2 linked regions of the Tamandua tetradactyla genome follow. The protein of the gene in region 2 interacts with the protein of the main gene of each other region in a biochemical or structural test. Links are inferred from orthologs where the notes say so. Each region holds a gene or a part of one and is shown on either strand. Other genes may lie near its edges.

Region 1 (7,730 bases), on a different chromosome or scaffold from region 2:
CATTGCTGAATGAATAATTAATGTACTCTTAATATATTGAAGAGTAGCAATGACAGACTAAAAAAATCTCCTCCAGTGGTTAAAGAGAATGCTGCACAGCAAGGAGATATCAGGAAAGGCAGCAAAAAAGGTAGAATGGAGAACTGGGCAAGAATCTCAGTGCTGCAAACCACGTAAAAAAGAAGCTTTTCTTTTCACTCCGAAAAAAAAAAAGCTTGAATTCCCTAAACCCTGAGAAGTAAAAATAACTGATCCTTCTATTATTAGAAAGAAGAAATTATGAACACATTTTCAGCAACATTTCTGTTGCTTAAAGTTAAAAGAAAATAGCAAAATTCCAATAACAACAATTGTTTATTGAGGGCCAAGCTCTGCAATTTACTAGAGATTGTCCACTTGCTAGTCATTTCAGTTTAGGACCTTTCCTTTGAATGACTTAAAATCAGAATCACTTAGAAAACCCCAGCAGAAATCCCTCGGGAAAATCTCTTTGAAATGCAAAGTAAAGCCCACCTATAATGATCAACAAAAAACACCAGAAAGTTAACTCTTCCTTGACAATTGTGTATGGATTCTAGCAAAATACCTTGTGCAAAAAAGGACGCTTTTAACCTCTAAGCTAATGCCACATCTATGATCTCTAGTACCTAAGTGAGGTGCCAACCCTAGTCTTGCCAACCTCTGAGAACTTTCTTGCTTAGCCACCTCTCACCAAACCCATCTTCCACTGGTGCTTTCCACAGACTCTGGTCAGCCCCTTCCACTCTGCCCTTTTCTCCCCATCTCCACCTCCACCCAGGGAAACCCTGTCCTCTCTAAAGCTTAGCACAAATATTGTCCATTTCAGAGCCTTCCCAACTTCCTCAGCTGACAGACCCCTCTCTCACTTGTGCCCACAGGGCCTGACCTGTGGCACAGCTTCTGCTGCCTAGTAGCCTAGGTCCAGCTCCCCCACCCTCAGACAAACGTCCCTGAAGGCAGGGACATACTGATTTTGCATCTACTCCAGCACCTAGCAGTGCCCACAGAAGGCCTAAGGATAGCCTATGCTGAAATAATAATAATAAAATATGTCTTAGTTCTCCCACCTCCAGTAATAGAAAACTCAAATGAAGATTCATCTCATTCAGTAAGAGTCTGAGCTGCAGAACGCAGCTTGTAGGGTGTAGGTGCTTTTCACTTAGTTTGTTTTACTTGTCCATGATTTTCAAGTTTTTGACAATGGACAATATTATTCTTATAATCAAAGAAAATCCCGTTATATTTAAAGCTAATTATCTAACTTCCTCAACAGTACAGTTCTCAGAGAGTATGCAAGGAGTTCCTGAGAACAGTGTACAGATCAACCCGAGATATCTCTGGAATGGCATGTCAGCAGGAAAACGACTCATGGTCACTGGGCCCCCTGGGTCTGAAGAACAGTGAGAAAAAGCACTCAAGAAACTGCACCTGAAACTGCCCATCCTTGCAGAAGGCAACCAAGCTTTGTGCCAGGGAGCCAGGCATAAAAGCCAACCCTATTGCCCTTTTATTCTGTGATCTCCAGAAACTCCTTTAACCTTTCTGAGCCTCTCACAGAGGATCTACAAAGATTTAATAAGCAATACATGTAAGGCCACCTGACACAGAGCCAGAAGATGTACAGTAAACCCTAGATAAAGGCTACTTCCTTTTCTGTGCTTAAACCACAGACTGCAAGGGTTACACTATGTTCTGCATCCACTCCAGAGGTACATGCCAGAAAAGTATCTCTCTTCAATCTGGGAAACATAAGCAACTTCCAAAATCACTGCTAGCAACCTTTCTGGACAGCCTCTTAAAAGGCTGCCTCCCATAATTCAGATTCCAATCTGAATTCCAATCTAACCTGGTACCTGTATTGACAACCAGCACTGTTCCCAGTCAGAAGCCCTGGGTCATATGCCTACCTTAGACCCAAGACCTCACTTCACAAGGTATATCTCAGGGCTAATTAAGCCCTGGGCCCCATATGCACAACAGTAATTGAATCTTTGGAGAGTCTATTCCCAGTGTAGGCAAAATGGTAATCAGAAAGCAACTCCTCAAGATTTCTAGGAACACACAAAGAGATGGGGTTTTCACCAAGATTTACAAGCTGTCCAAATCCAACCGGCTGCCCTACACGCCCTGCTCGCAAAGCTTAAACTCGATACCAGAGGAAAATTTGACTGAGCCCGAAGAAATGCCAAAACACATCCTTCCTGTTCACTTTGAAGCAACCGAAGTGGATACTTTAAGTTAAATTTAAACTCGAGGGTCATTAGAAAGGACACATTTTATTGCTCGGCTCTATTCACCTTCTAAAAGACAACCCCAGAGCAGAGCACAGAGCTTCAGGGCCACTTAAACACGCGGCTGGGGTTTCTCTTCCCCCTTCTCTAGGTTTAAGCCATTTTTCTGGAAGTTCATTAGGAGAGCAAAGCAGCTTACATAAAAGAGACCCCGGCTGCAGGGAGAACCTCCCACCTCCACCGTCCTTCAAAATGCTACTAAAAAAGAAGTCACGCCAGTTGTGTCCACCCTCGCGCTCACCCTTCCGGGCACCGTTACCCCGCGGCGGTCTGTGCACACTGAAAATAGAGCAGAGCAGGAACCAGCCAACCGGCTAAAAATGGCCTTTGAATGTGAAGTTGAAAAACGCCCCAATTAGGCCTCGGCGGTAGTTTCACTTCTGCTCCCCAGGGCAAAAACAGGGACCACGCGAAACCCGGTAAAAATCCGAATTCGGCTCCGGTGGAGAGCGAGGCGGCGGCGCCGCGGGGCCCACGCGGGCCGCCGGGCAGTTCGGATCCGCCTCGGCCTCGGGCTGGGCCCGCGGCGCGGGACAAACTGAGCTGGGTCCCCGCTCCGGCACGGCGACGACCAGAGCCCGGGCGCCCAGCGCCGCCGCCGACTCTGCGCCGCCGCCTCACCTGCTTTCTCGATCTTGCCAGACATTTCCGGGCTGCGCCGGAGGCCGAGGCCGCCGCTCATTGGGCCCGGGCCGGGCCGCTGCGGGACGACAGGCCGGCACGGCCGCCGCTCGCCGCGCCTCAGATCCGCGCCGGCATGGCGGGTTCCGCGCGGCCACGGCCTGTGAGCTCGGCGATCGCGCGCTCCTGCACCCCCGGGGCCGCCGCCGCTCCGCCTCCTCTCGCGCCTCAGCTGCAGCCGCCGCCGCCGCCGCCGCCGCCGCCGCCGCTTTTCCCTGGCCTGCGAGCCCGGCCCCAGCGCCGCGCCGCCGCCCGCTCGCCGGGCCTCGCCCGCGGCCACAGCGCCACCTACTGGGCACCCGCCCCGGCGCCGCACCGGAACGAGCCCGACGCCCTCTGCCGGCCCGGAGACTGATCTGACCCTCCCACCCGAGACACATCGCCCCCTGCCGGCCCGGAGTCTTCACGCCAAGGTCTGGGACTGCCCCCTCCCCCAGTGGAGCTGTGCGCTGCGTGCAGACCCAGAACCGCTGCTGGAACCTGGACTCACTCCTTTCCACGCGGGACTTAGTATCCCCTACCCCCAGGAACTAGTCGCGGGCTTAGGCCTGATCCCTCCCGACTCGAGGTTCGGCTTTCCCAGATGCTGAAGTCTCCAGATCAAGGCCTGAGTCCAACCACATCAGGAACATAGTGACCCCAGCTTGCCCTGCTCACTGGACCTCCGGATGGGGACCACAGGAGCTCAAACATTGCTTTTTAGCATGATGATGAGTTCATTAAAAGTCATTCATTTAAGACTCAAAGAACCTACATAGGGCTAGGCGCTGTTAGGTGCTGTAGGTCCTACAAAATATGTACAATTGCTTCTTCCCTCCAAATACTTCAGATCTTAGGTGACTAGTCAAAGTTAAATCATATAATGCAAGTTTTGAGTAACAATACATTTTAATAACACAAGGGATGTTCGAACATGGGAAAATCCCCTGCCTCCTGTTTGCTTGCTGTTTTTGGCCCAAGATGGAAAACAAATTAACAAAAAGCAACTCAACTAATTTTCCCTCCAGAATTCCTTGATAAAGGTGAATTAACAGTTTCAAAAGGTGGTGATGGGACAAGATTTGAGGAGGTGCAGGGATTAGGCAAGAATGGTTGATACTGCAAGCAATTCCATGTCTCACGTCTCCCTCACACTCAGATGCATCACTAATTCCATCACTTAGAGTTGACCATAGATTGCAGCCAAATTTCCAGAGTAGTCAGTTCAGGTGGTCAGCTCCTAGCACTCAAGAGATCAAAAGCAAAGCCAAAGATTGACAAATTCATTTCTCTTTTTGAGCTGATGAATGGCTGCTCTGAATCAGAGTGGCACTGCTTCACCCTATCAGCAGCTTCATAACCAGGCAAAACAGGGCCTCGGCCACAGGCCCACCACCCCAACCACTTGCAGTGCTGCCCCTAACCCTTCTAGGCTTCTGAGCTGAGACGGACTAATGTTTTAAATCTGAAAACTTAGGTGCAAAGTAGGAAATTAGAATGAATGATTATGAGGCCCAGTCAGGGGTTCTTTTTTTTTTTTTTGCATTATTTTCAATACTTTATTTCCAAAGTGGTTTGGCTCTGTGTCCTTATACTTTTTTTTTTGCAACTGAAGGGTACATTTTATTTTTTGGCATTTTTGGTAAAATATAATCATTGTAAAGCCTGTATTTGTACAGTAAGTTTCATAACCAATTTAAAATTAAGGTGAACAGGAAGAAAATCTGCAGATACAGATATTAGCATTTCTTGAATCCTAAATATTAAACACTAACTTAAGTACCATTTGATTAGCTATTAAAACTATAGACATTCTCAAAACACCAATAGAAAGATATTAGAATCATCAAGTCTGCTATAGTAATGACCTTTGTTACTGAACATTCTTAAGCATTTGGTTTTCAAGAAAATATAAAGATACAAATGTTTTTACAATGAACATATGGAAATCTTATCTCTTATGCTGTCATAACATTTAATATCTATTTTATCTAATATTACGATAGCTACTTGTGCTTTCTTCTGGTTACAGCTTACATAGAACATCTATTTCCATCTTTTCACTTTCAATCTGTTAGAATCCTTTGGTCTAAGATAAATCTCTTGTGAATTGCATATGGATAGATCATATTATCTAATCCATTCAGTCAATCTGTGTCTTTTAATTAGTGAGTTTAGTCCATTAACATTCAAAATTATTACTGTAAAAGAAGATTCTGGGTCCAGCATCTTATCCTATACCTATAAATACAGATATCAGAGTTCCCCAAATTCTAAATATTAAATGCTAACTTAAATATCATTTGATCAGCTTTCAAAGCTGTGAACATTCTCAAAATATCAAGTAAAAAGTTGTTACAAATATCAACCTTGCTACAGTAATGACCTATGTTACTGAACATTTTCAAGTTTTAGATTTCAGGAAAACATAAAAATACAAACTTTTTATAATTAATGTATGAAAATCTTAACCACCAAAAATGGATATCTTGGTTAGCTTATCCATAGGCATATTAAATAAAATATAACCATTATATAGCCTATGTTTATACAGTAAATTTCATAAACCAATTTAAAATTAAGGCAAAACAGGGAAAAATCTGGAGATACAGACATTAGAGTTTCTTGAATTCTAAATATTAAATGCTAACTTAAATATCATTTGATTAGCTATCAGAACTGTATACAAATAAAACAAAAAAAAGAAAAAACCTATCCATTCTCAAAATATTAAGTAGGCAGTTATTAGAAACATCAGCTTTGCTATAGTGACCTATGTTACTGAACATTTTCAAGTTTTTGATTTCAGGAATATGTAAAGATACAAATGTTTTTTGCAATAACATTTGAAAATCTTGTCTCTTATGGTGCCATACATTTAAAATCTATTTTATCTGATATTACTCTAGCTACTTGCCAGTCAGGGTTTCTTGAATAAATTAAATTGTTGAATATATTTAATAAATTATGACATGTCAAATGATAAGGGATTTTGTAAATGATAGAGCAGTTTTCAAACGGATATTGTTGTAAATAAGGGTCATGGCATTTATTTAATAAAGGTTATTCATCAAACATGTTTATAGCTATAACAGAACACACACCGGGTAATGAAGCAAACAAATTCCTAAAGCCATTTACTTCCTTCTTTGGGGCCTTCTCACATGCTGCTCCTTCTGCCTAGAATGTTCTCTCCCCTCCTCTTCATTTAGCTAATTCCTAGTCTTCTGTTCTCTGTTTGACTGTCACTCCTACCGAGGAGTCCTTCCCCAGCTCTCCCCAGAGAGACTGTTCCCTGTTGATCAGGACCCTTGATTTCACTGTCAGAAAACCCAGATCAGCTTGGTTATAGCAAAAAAGGAAATGTGTTGAATATCATAACTAGGAAACCAGGGATACAGTCAGGTCCAAACACATCTAAAGCTAGACTCTTAAAACAATGACATTATTCCTCTGTGTTGGCTCTGTTCTCAGATGACCACTCTCCACGTGGTGGCAAAAGTGGGCACCAGCAGACCTAGGCTTGTCACCAACCAGCTTGACAATCCCAGTGGAAAATGAGTATGTCTTTCCTCATAGTTCAAAAAACAGCCCCTTGGCACATGCACTTTAGCCTGGTTTGAGAGTTACATGTCTAACCCTGAACCAGTTACTGCAGACAAGAAGGCCTAGGAATTGTACCTACTGCAAGAAACCGTGAGGGTAAAGGCCACCGAATCAGCAACCTGGGAGTGGGAAAGGGTGGTTCCTCAAAGCAATATCAGAAGAAGAGATGCTGATGTGGCAAAAATGACAGACATCTATCTCTGCCATCACAGAGAACCTTACCACATCCTGCCCTTCACCTTCAGAGCACATGCCTCCACATTCGCTTATTTCATATGCAGTTGTCTGTTTAGTACCTGCCTCTTCCAGGGGACTGCATACTCCACCTGGGCAGGAACCATGTTGCCTCATGTACTACTGGATCACTAACACCAGCACAGACAAGAAGCTCAGTCAATACATGATGGCTGCTATGACGCTTTCTCACAATGTTCTGGGAAAGACCTAGCCAAATGACTGCTACAGCAACTCCCCAGATGCCACAAGAGAAGAAACAGCAAGGTGACCAGAAACCTGTGCAGAGAGCCTCCTTTAGACCAGGCTCTCCTCAAAAGGGTCATGACCTCTTCTTGGCATTTGCAGACAATATTCAACTATTAGGACAATGGGAACTGAGTGAGATAAGGGTAGAGAATGGGCAAAAATGAGGCTGCAGGCTCTGGGACTCACTTCAGCGTGTGTTGTTGGCTATCAGTTTGCACGTGCCTGCCTCAGCATCCCGACTCACTGTCCATTTTCTAAGGACAGAGATGATTGTTTCATTAACCTTTTACTGCAGATCAGAAGAGAAAGTGAAGTCCATCAATACTGGTGGTAATGATAATGGAGGCTGACCGTCATGAGGTCTGCCTATGGCTGGCGTCTGCTCACCACTGTTTTCAACCCTCACAGTAATCCTGGGAGTTGGGGTCTAGGTCAGGGAGTATTTGGCCACAAGTTAGAGAAAGTACCTCAACAATGGCTTGGAAAAGGGGGGAATTTATTGAAAACACAGGGTCTTATGCCCTAAACACAAGAGCAAGAAGTGCAGCGTGCCTCATCAGGGGTTGAAGGACCAGGAAACCATTTGCAGGAGTCCACACACATAACAACCACTAATCCACCCACCCCGAAGGCTCCTTCCTCTCCCACCTCAGCCAGCAGACACTAAGG
Region 2 (8,039 bases):
TCCTGACAAAGTGGGACAGATATCCAAGAATGAGCTGGGACTCAGCATCAAGGGATTGAGAAAATCTTCTAACCCAAAAGGGGGAAGAGAGAAATAAGACAAAACAAAGTGTCAATGGCTAAGAGATTTCAAACAGAGTCGAGAGGTTATCCTGGAGGTTATTCTTACACATTAAGTAGGTATCACCTTTTTAGTTAAGATATATTGGAGAGGCTGGAGGGAAGTGTCTGAAAATGTAGAGCTGTGTTCCAGTAGCCATGTTTCTTGAAGATGACTGTATAATGATATAGCTTTCACAATGTGACTGTGTGATTGTGAAAACCTTGTGTCTGATGCTCCTTTTATCTACAGTATGGACAGATGAGTAAAACATATGGGTTAAAAATGAATAAATAGGGGGAACAAATGTTAATATAAATTTAGTAGATTGAAATGCTAGTGATCAATGAAAGGGAGTGACAAGGGGTAAAGAATAAAACAGGAGAACAAAGGCTAAAATATATTGGGTAGGTGGAAATATTAGCAGTCAGAGAGGGAGGGGTAAGGGGTATGGCATGTATGAGTTTTTTTCTTTTTATTTTTTTCTGAATTGGTGCAAATGTTCTAAGAAATGATTATGGTGATGAATATACAACTATGTGATGATATTACGAGTTACTGATTATATACCAAGAATGGAATGATCATATGGTAAGAATGTTCATGTCTGTACGCTATTGTGTTTTAAAAAAATAAAATTAAAAAAAAAAAAAACCTGGCAGAGAATAAGTAGTCAATAAATGTCAGCCTCTCTAAAACTAAAGAAATGTCTCAGTACGGTTTCAAAAGAAAAAGAGGTTAAAGGCGAAGGAGAGAACAAAGATGAAGTAATCTCTATAAAGACAGCAGCGAATCAACTGTCCTGCATGGAAATGGGGTACAAGGCAGAAAGAAGCATAATAACCATGAACCTTCCACATCCCATCCACCAACTTATGCAACTTTACCTTCTCTTTTGGGCTGAGGGTCTGAATTCTTAACTGTTTTGAAAAGGTGGAGCTCTATATCAAAGTAAGTGCTGAGATATAAAATCACAACACCAAGGAGTGGAGAAATCTCAAACTAACAAGTCACCCTGCTTCCATTTCTAATTTTGCAAACAACAAAATATATATATATATATATAAACAAAAGGTTGAGAATTACGTTCCATAGTGCTACTGTACGTGATGCAAAACCCTAGATAACCATTCAAATGGCTTAAAAGTAGAATATGTATATGGTTTAAGGCAAATTTAAGCTCCATCAGTAATTTCCTCTCATGTTATAACACTATGAAATCAAGCATTCTGAGAAAGACCTTGTGGACCTAAAGACCTCACACTCTTTTGTTTTTTTCAATCTTACCAACAAAAGATTGCCTATCCCATCTCCCCATTTCTGGCCAGAATGCTTAAATCTATCTTAAAAGAACAACCGCACAAAGGCTGGCTGGGAAGCCTCCTAATTGTATGACTACCCCGGATCTAGTCTCAGCTGGTCAGGAGGAAATTGCTTCAACTTGGGGAAAGTGAAATGACATTAGGACTCTTTGGTTACAGATTCTGATACTCTCAGAATGACCCTGTATCTCAAAGCTCTGAAGTACTATGTGCATAAATCTCCTTAATAGTCCCAAAACAATTCCAATGGCATGAATAGGAAAGTCACATCCCAATAATCCTTGGGAATGACCCAGTGCAGATCATTTAAACTCAGAGAATCTGCCCAGGTGGGCCTGTTACCAGCTTTCATGAAGACTCAGGTCACAGCCCCAATTTACTAAGCTAAGAAACATACTGAAGTACAAGACTGGCAATGTTCAGGTCCAAGGAAAAATGAAGTTTCATTCACTTTCTGGAAAGGGATTGTTTTCAGTACCTTATTTCTGGTTTATTTTCTTAAGAAATTCTTCCTCCACTAAACACCTTGAAAACGAGAATCCCTTAATTACAAGGGGGATAGTTTTTTGACCACTAAGATCTCTTGGTCAGCCAGGCATTTACTTTTTCTGGACTGGCCACAGAGGACTTTCTTCCATCACCTAAGCACTTAGCTCACCACCTTCGTCCTCCACAAGGGAAGAGGACGGTAAACGTATTTTGGAAACATGCCCAAGAAAGGAAAAAGCTGACTGATTTCCTGAGGGTGTCTCCAACCCTCCCGGCCAGTATGTGGTGACTTCCTACCAAAGGCCACCAGGGGAGTATGGCCAAACCCGGCTCTCTAGCACTGCAGGAAGTGTTTCAAGCCCAAAAGCCACTTGTAGGATTATCGGATTCATTCTGGGCACCGCTGCCAAGTGATGCCCCCGCAGTGACAACATCCCCCTCAGTCCTTTGTCCCCACACTGCTCGGCCCTGCCCTTGCAGCCTGGCCCGGCGTTAGCCCCACCCTGGGGCCGAAGCAGTTCCCCTTCCCCTGGGCCGTCCTCCCAAGGCACACCCAGAGGCCTCGGTCAGCGGCCCCTCCTCCCCCACATATTCCCGCTCGTCGGTGAGAACGAGCTTGATAACAGGGTGCCCCCTGCACGAGTCATGCCACCCTCTGCCCACGACCCGCGTGGGGTCAGCGTGCAAGGAGCAATCGGCCAGGTTGGAGAGTTCCGGGGCCCTCAACCCCCGCCCAGGGACCCCATCCCATCCTTCCCTCACCCGGCGGAGGCTGGGCGGGCGACGGCGGCACTGGCGGGCGCGGGCCGCTACTGTTGATGATGTAGTGGGAGACGCGCGAGTTCTCGGAGACGCTGAGCACATAGTCCCCGGGGCTGGTGCTTGAGTCCCGCACCAGGAACACCCCGTGCCGCTGGCCCTGCAACAGCGCCACCGCCTCTTGTCGGCTCAGCCGTCCCCAGTACCAGCTACTCCGCTCCTCCGAGTCAAAGTTGCCTGCCATGGCCGCCTCCGCGCCTACACGTAGGGCCGCCGCCACGCGCGCCCCTCCAGCCCCGACGCCCGCCGCCCAGCGGACCGGCTCGGGTCTCAGCCTCACAGAAGCGCCCGAAATGGCGGCGGCAGCCGCGGGCCTTCCCCACCGGAAATGACGCCACTCCCTGCCCGAGGGAGGCCGCCGGGAAGGGGACCGCAGCTCGCCATTGGGAGAAGGGCAAGGGAGAAGTCGCACGCTCAGTGCGCATGCGGCCTCATGGGCGTCGCCGCCTGGCTCAGACCTGGACTGCAGAGGGTGAGGAGGCGGAGTCTAGGAGGGAAGGGGCGGGGCCTAAGTCAGGCGTCCGCAGGGATTTGTGTTTGTTCTATTGGCCACGGGGGGGTTCTTCGGTCCTTTAGCTTTCAAGTTACTGGAAGACTCAGGGCTTCTCGACAGCGGCTCATAGAAGGAAGGTAGAAAAGGTGGCTGTGGCCCCAGGTCCCAAGGCTCCCTGAGAAATCTGGCTTTCTCTGCTGGTTCTTCTAGTTTCCGGCTAAAGTTCTTGTTTTCACTGATCCATTCAGCAGTTATTGACACTGAACTTGCTCTCGGGTGCAGAGGTGATCGAGGCTAGGCCCTGCCCTTACCAAATTCACTGACCAGTGAGAAGAACCAGGAAGCAGGCAAAATGACGAGAAGTGACAACAGCTATGATGGGGGCTCTAGGAAAACAGAGCAGGGCCCCTATCCAGTCTGTGGAAGGTGGCATTCAAGGTAAAGGATATCAGGCCAGTCGCTGTGGTCATCTGTCCTCTGTATTCCCGTGAGCATCCCTCCTTGCTGAGGGTCTTCAGTCTTACTGCCCCTGATTGCACATTGTGCCTGGAAGTAGCTGCCAGTGTGAATTTTTTAAATGAAAATCTGAATCTGTTACTATCTTACATAAAACCTTTAACACAGCCTTGAAGTGTTAAAATTCCCGTTTTACCTCACAGCAGAAAGTTGGATTTAGCCTCATCTTAACTACCATTACACGGAACTCTGTTCCTGGAAGATCCTTCCACCTTTACAGAATCTCAAACTCAAATGTCTCCCCTTTTCTTTCCACCCCATTCACTTCCTCTCTTTATTAACAAATACTGTTCATATTCTCCCATTACAGCTCTTACTCATACTATACATTTTCATTAACAGGCCTGTGTCATCTAGCTTAGTAGGCACGCAATAAATATTCCCTAATAACAGGTACCATTTATTCAGAATCCTACCTGCCAGACATCCTGCTAAATGTCTTTATGTGGATCATCTCATTTAATGCTAGCAACAACCTTATGGGTAGGTATTTTACAACTAACTCCATTTTACAGATGAAAATCCTGGAGCTCAGAGAGGTTAAGCAACTTGTCCAAAGTCACACAACTGCTGTAGTGAGGAACTAGGATTCAAATCCTAAAGGAGAGCCAGAGCTGTCAATCACTGCTATATTTTTAGAATTCTGGAATGGAAATCTTGGTAAGGAAAGGGTGAGGGACAGAAATCTATGTTAAAAAAAAACATCTGTCATACCTGGTTTATGACCTGTGAATAACACAACTCTTCCTGACCCCCTCCACACACTCCTGGGTCTGCTTACTTGAGGATTAGGGAGGGAAATCTTCCCTGCTGTGTGTGACTCATGGTGACCCTGGTTTACTCACAGCGTGTCACCATGTGCTAGCAGCAGAGGCCATCCCAGTGTGAATTCCAGCTCTTTGGGAATGAGAAGATCCTGCTCTTTATTTCCCCAGGAAAGCAGGGTCTTTGGGTCAGGACCTGTCTCGAAGACTGCCTCCGGGGATCTAAAGCCGTGCCTCCACCCACCCCCCTCGAGGCACGCGGTTATGACTATATATATTTATTTTAAAGAAGAAAAGGGAAAAAATGAACAAAAACCATAACTGAGTTGGAAAAGCAAACAAAGAGACAGAAGGGGCAACCAGCCCCAAGCAGCCACTCAAGTGGGTCCTTCCTGGAAGCATAGAGAATTGACAAATTTGGTGGGGGGCATAATGTAGAAATAGGAGTGGCTTTTGGAAAAACTAATTAATTCCAGAAGTAAGCAAACCCACTGTTCCCCCACCCGCCCACCTCCTTTCTCTCTTCCTCCTCCTCTCCTCTTCTGGCCCCTGATAAGCCTGAGATCTGCCCTACAAAGAAAGTGAACCCTTGCTGAGGAATATCTCTGCAAGGAGGTGGGTGAGATGGGGTAGGTGGGAAGGTACCTGAAAAAGAATGAGATGTGAAAGGTGAAAAGAAAGAAAAGCTGCCCCATCTGAGAGGAAAACACCAAAGTCCTCCGTTCTCCAAGCCACAAACCTGAACTGCAAAAGGCACTCCTTAGTTTAGAAATAGAGGAGGGCAGAGGGCAACAATCTGCCTACCTACTCTCCATCCTCTGAAGTGACCAGAGGATGTAGCTGTCAGCTACAGTCCTGCAGGTTGTAAGTGCTGCACACTTCCAGGGCACTGGGTAAATGGTACCCACTGGAGCGGAGTGACTTATACTTACTTTCCCCTTAAAAAAAAAAAAAAAAAAAAAAGGCTGAAAAGTTTATTTGTATCAGGAAGGCAAAAATTGCTGTTTAAAGGGAAAACTGACAGTTTGTGTGTGTGTGAGAGAGAAAGTGGGGATGGGTGGGGAGGGAGATGGGAACATAAACTTCTGCCCTGTTCTCACTCACATATGGGAACAGGGAAACAGGAAGGAAACAGGGAGATTTCCAAGTGTCTGCTAAAGATTCTGGACTATGAAAAAGAGAGCTATCTCATCCCTAGTGGGTAGCCCTTAGTTTTGCAGAGACAAGGACCACTCTCAAAAAGTGCAAAGGCACGGTCTGGAGGCAGGCATTAGGAGAAAATTCTGGGGAGAAATGTGAGGAGACTCCGAGAAGCGTGGGGAAATCGTGGGTGCTGGAAACACACACACAGGAGGCTGGTCCTTCCTTGTAAGGTCAGAGAAATGTTTCCAGAGGCCACATGGCTGCAAGGCTTTTGAGAACAAGGCTGGAAACTACTCAACTTTGAATTGTTTGCTTTGCTGCAGTGTAAACCCCCCTCATTGCATCTGTCCTTTGCGAAAGTGTGCTACTTACACTAATGCCTTTTGGGGGATGGAACCAAGCCCCCCACGCTGCTCCTTGCTTTGCACTTGTTTCTTCAGCCTGGAACACTCTTGCCCCTGAACAGCCTGTTTAAAATTGCAAACTGCACACCCAACACCCCCCTCCGCTTCTTTACTTAATTTTCTTAGCACTTACCATTTCTAATATATTACGCATTTTACTCTTTTATTTATTGTATCTCTTCCCCTCTGAATGTATGCCCAAGAGCAAAAGAAATTTTGTCTTTTTTGCTCCTGTTTCATCCCAAGTGCCTAACAGAGAGCTGACACATAGTAAGTAAGCATTTATTAAATATTAGAGGAATGAAAGGAATGGATGAATGAATGGAGTCCTGTGGAGGCTGTTACCCAGAGCCAGAATTAGCTCCCTAGAATTTGTAGATATCTCCTGGACGGCATTGGATGTCTCTCAGGATGTGAGCTGGGGTGCAAATCATTATGGGTTATGGCTCAAAAGGACAGAATGCCCTTAGCTGACATCTGATAATATGTGCAATGTCACTCTCAAACACATTCCAATTTGCTAGAGAAAGGAGTGTAGTTGCAGTTATAAAACTGGGAATGGCACCTAACTCAATGCCTATCTTATCTACCAGCTTCTTGGAGCCACTGTCACTACTGATAGAGTGGATAAGTTGTGTTCCTTTCATTTTCCATAGATAAACTCCCCCCCCCCCCCATAGATTAACTTTTGGTGGAGGTGTCAGAATCCAGGTGCATTCACAGGATTGTCAGTCAAGCCGCAGATAGCCATAGACTGCGTGGTACCTCGTTCCTTGAGAACTTTTGCCCTAGGTGATGAATCTAAACTCCTCTGGCAGGTAGCCTGGCCCCAAACCAACCTTTTCTTACCTGGAAGCCCTGCACACACCATTCCTTCTGCTCCCAATGCACCTCCCTCAGGAAAACTCTTAGCCATCTGCTGATGAACTCTGGATGTGGCTGATCTCATTCCCTTTTTTTTCTGGGGATAATGCTGATTTTCTTTGGGGGAGTCATTTGCTCCCATTGTTGGTCCTTGTGGTTGAGTGGGTGATTTGTGTCACTTTTTGCCTGGGGGTGGGTGGGTGGTGGGGGCACATGACCCAAGCCTGGCCAGAATGTGCTCTTCTCCCTACAACGGTGGGGTCAGGAAGGAGGCACCTGGTCCAAGTTGGGCCACCGAGAATCAGCTGAGATTTGGGTCTGAATTATTGGGAGAGGGGTTCTTTCTCTTTTGGGCTCCATTGCTCATTGTAGAATAAAAGCCTGGAACTGCTGGTGGCTGTTGCTCCTACCATATGGGAAGGTCCTGCCTGAGAATGAAGCCACCAGAGGGCTGAGCCAGGGGATCGTTCCACACACATTCCTACAATACTGAGCACTTGGACGCAGCTTTCCCTAGAACTATTAGGTTGCTAATGCTAATAAATGCCTTGTTTTGTCCAAGCCAGTGTGGGTGGGGTTTATCACCCCTCACCCTGACCTGAGGAGTCATCTTCTCATCAGTGTGCCTCTTGGACTGTTTCTGTTCACCATCCCGCTTGACCAGCTGAGGACCCTGTGGGCAGGGACCATGCATGAAGGATCCTTCCCCACTGCCCACAGCAGTGAGCCAGGGGCAGCAGGCTTTTAGTAAGCAGCTAGTGAAAGAGCGCGTCCATAGTACAGCTATTGGTCACTTCTACTCACTCCCCCCAGGAGTTGTCCTGGGGACGAGGCAAAAATGCAATACGAGGCTCCAGGTTACCTCCTAGGGGCCCTCTCCCTTTCCTAATATTCACAAGAAGACCAGTGTCGGCAAATTCATATTGCTTTATTTAGTGTTTCTCTGGATTACAGAAGTGTCAGCAGTGGGCTGAGACCCCCCAGGAGAGCACAAAGGTGGCTGGGTAGCCCCCGGGCCCTCTGGGCGGAAGCAGCAGAAAGAAGTGATGCCCCTGCAGCTCCTCCCAAGATCAGCCCCTTCCCCAGGCTCCCAGGCCAGGGATGGAGTCAGAGGCCAGGAAAGGTC

What was found. The genes of interacting proteins can lie anywhere in the genome.
Region 1: the proteins of CRK (region 2) and RAPGEF1 form a complex in vitro, tested with the Homo sapiens proteins (4 studies listed by BioGRID, with this or other methods). The link is inferred for Tamandua tetradactyla from reciprocal best matches to the Homo sapiens genes CRK and RAPGEF1.

Annotation. Positions count from the first base shown.
Region 1 is NC_135328.1:54,750,707-54,758,436, forward strand, and holds the start of RAPGEF1 (rap guanine nucleotide exchange factor 1), read right to left. Parts: upstream 3,025-7,730; 5' UTR 2,995-3,024; coding exon 2,934-2,994; intron 1-2,933. UniProt on the Homo sapiens protein: Guanine nucleotide-releasing protein that binds to SH3 domain of CRK and GRB2/ASH. Transduces signals from CRK to activate RAS. Involved in cell branching and adhesion mediated by BCAR1-CRK-RAPGEF1 signaling and activation of RAP1.
Region 2 is NC_135332.1:55,230,114-55,238,152, forward strand, and holds the start of CRK (adapter molecule crk), read right to left. Parts: upstream 3,056-8,039; 5' UTR 2,914-3,055; coding exon 2,673-2,913; intron 1-2,672. UniProt on the Homo sapiens protein: Involved in cell branching and adhesion mediated by BCAR1-CRK-RAPGEF1 signaling and activation of RAP1.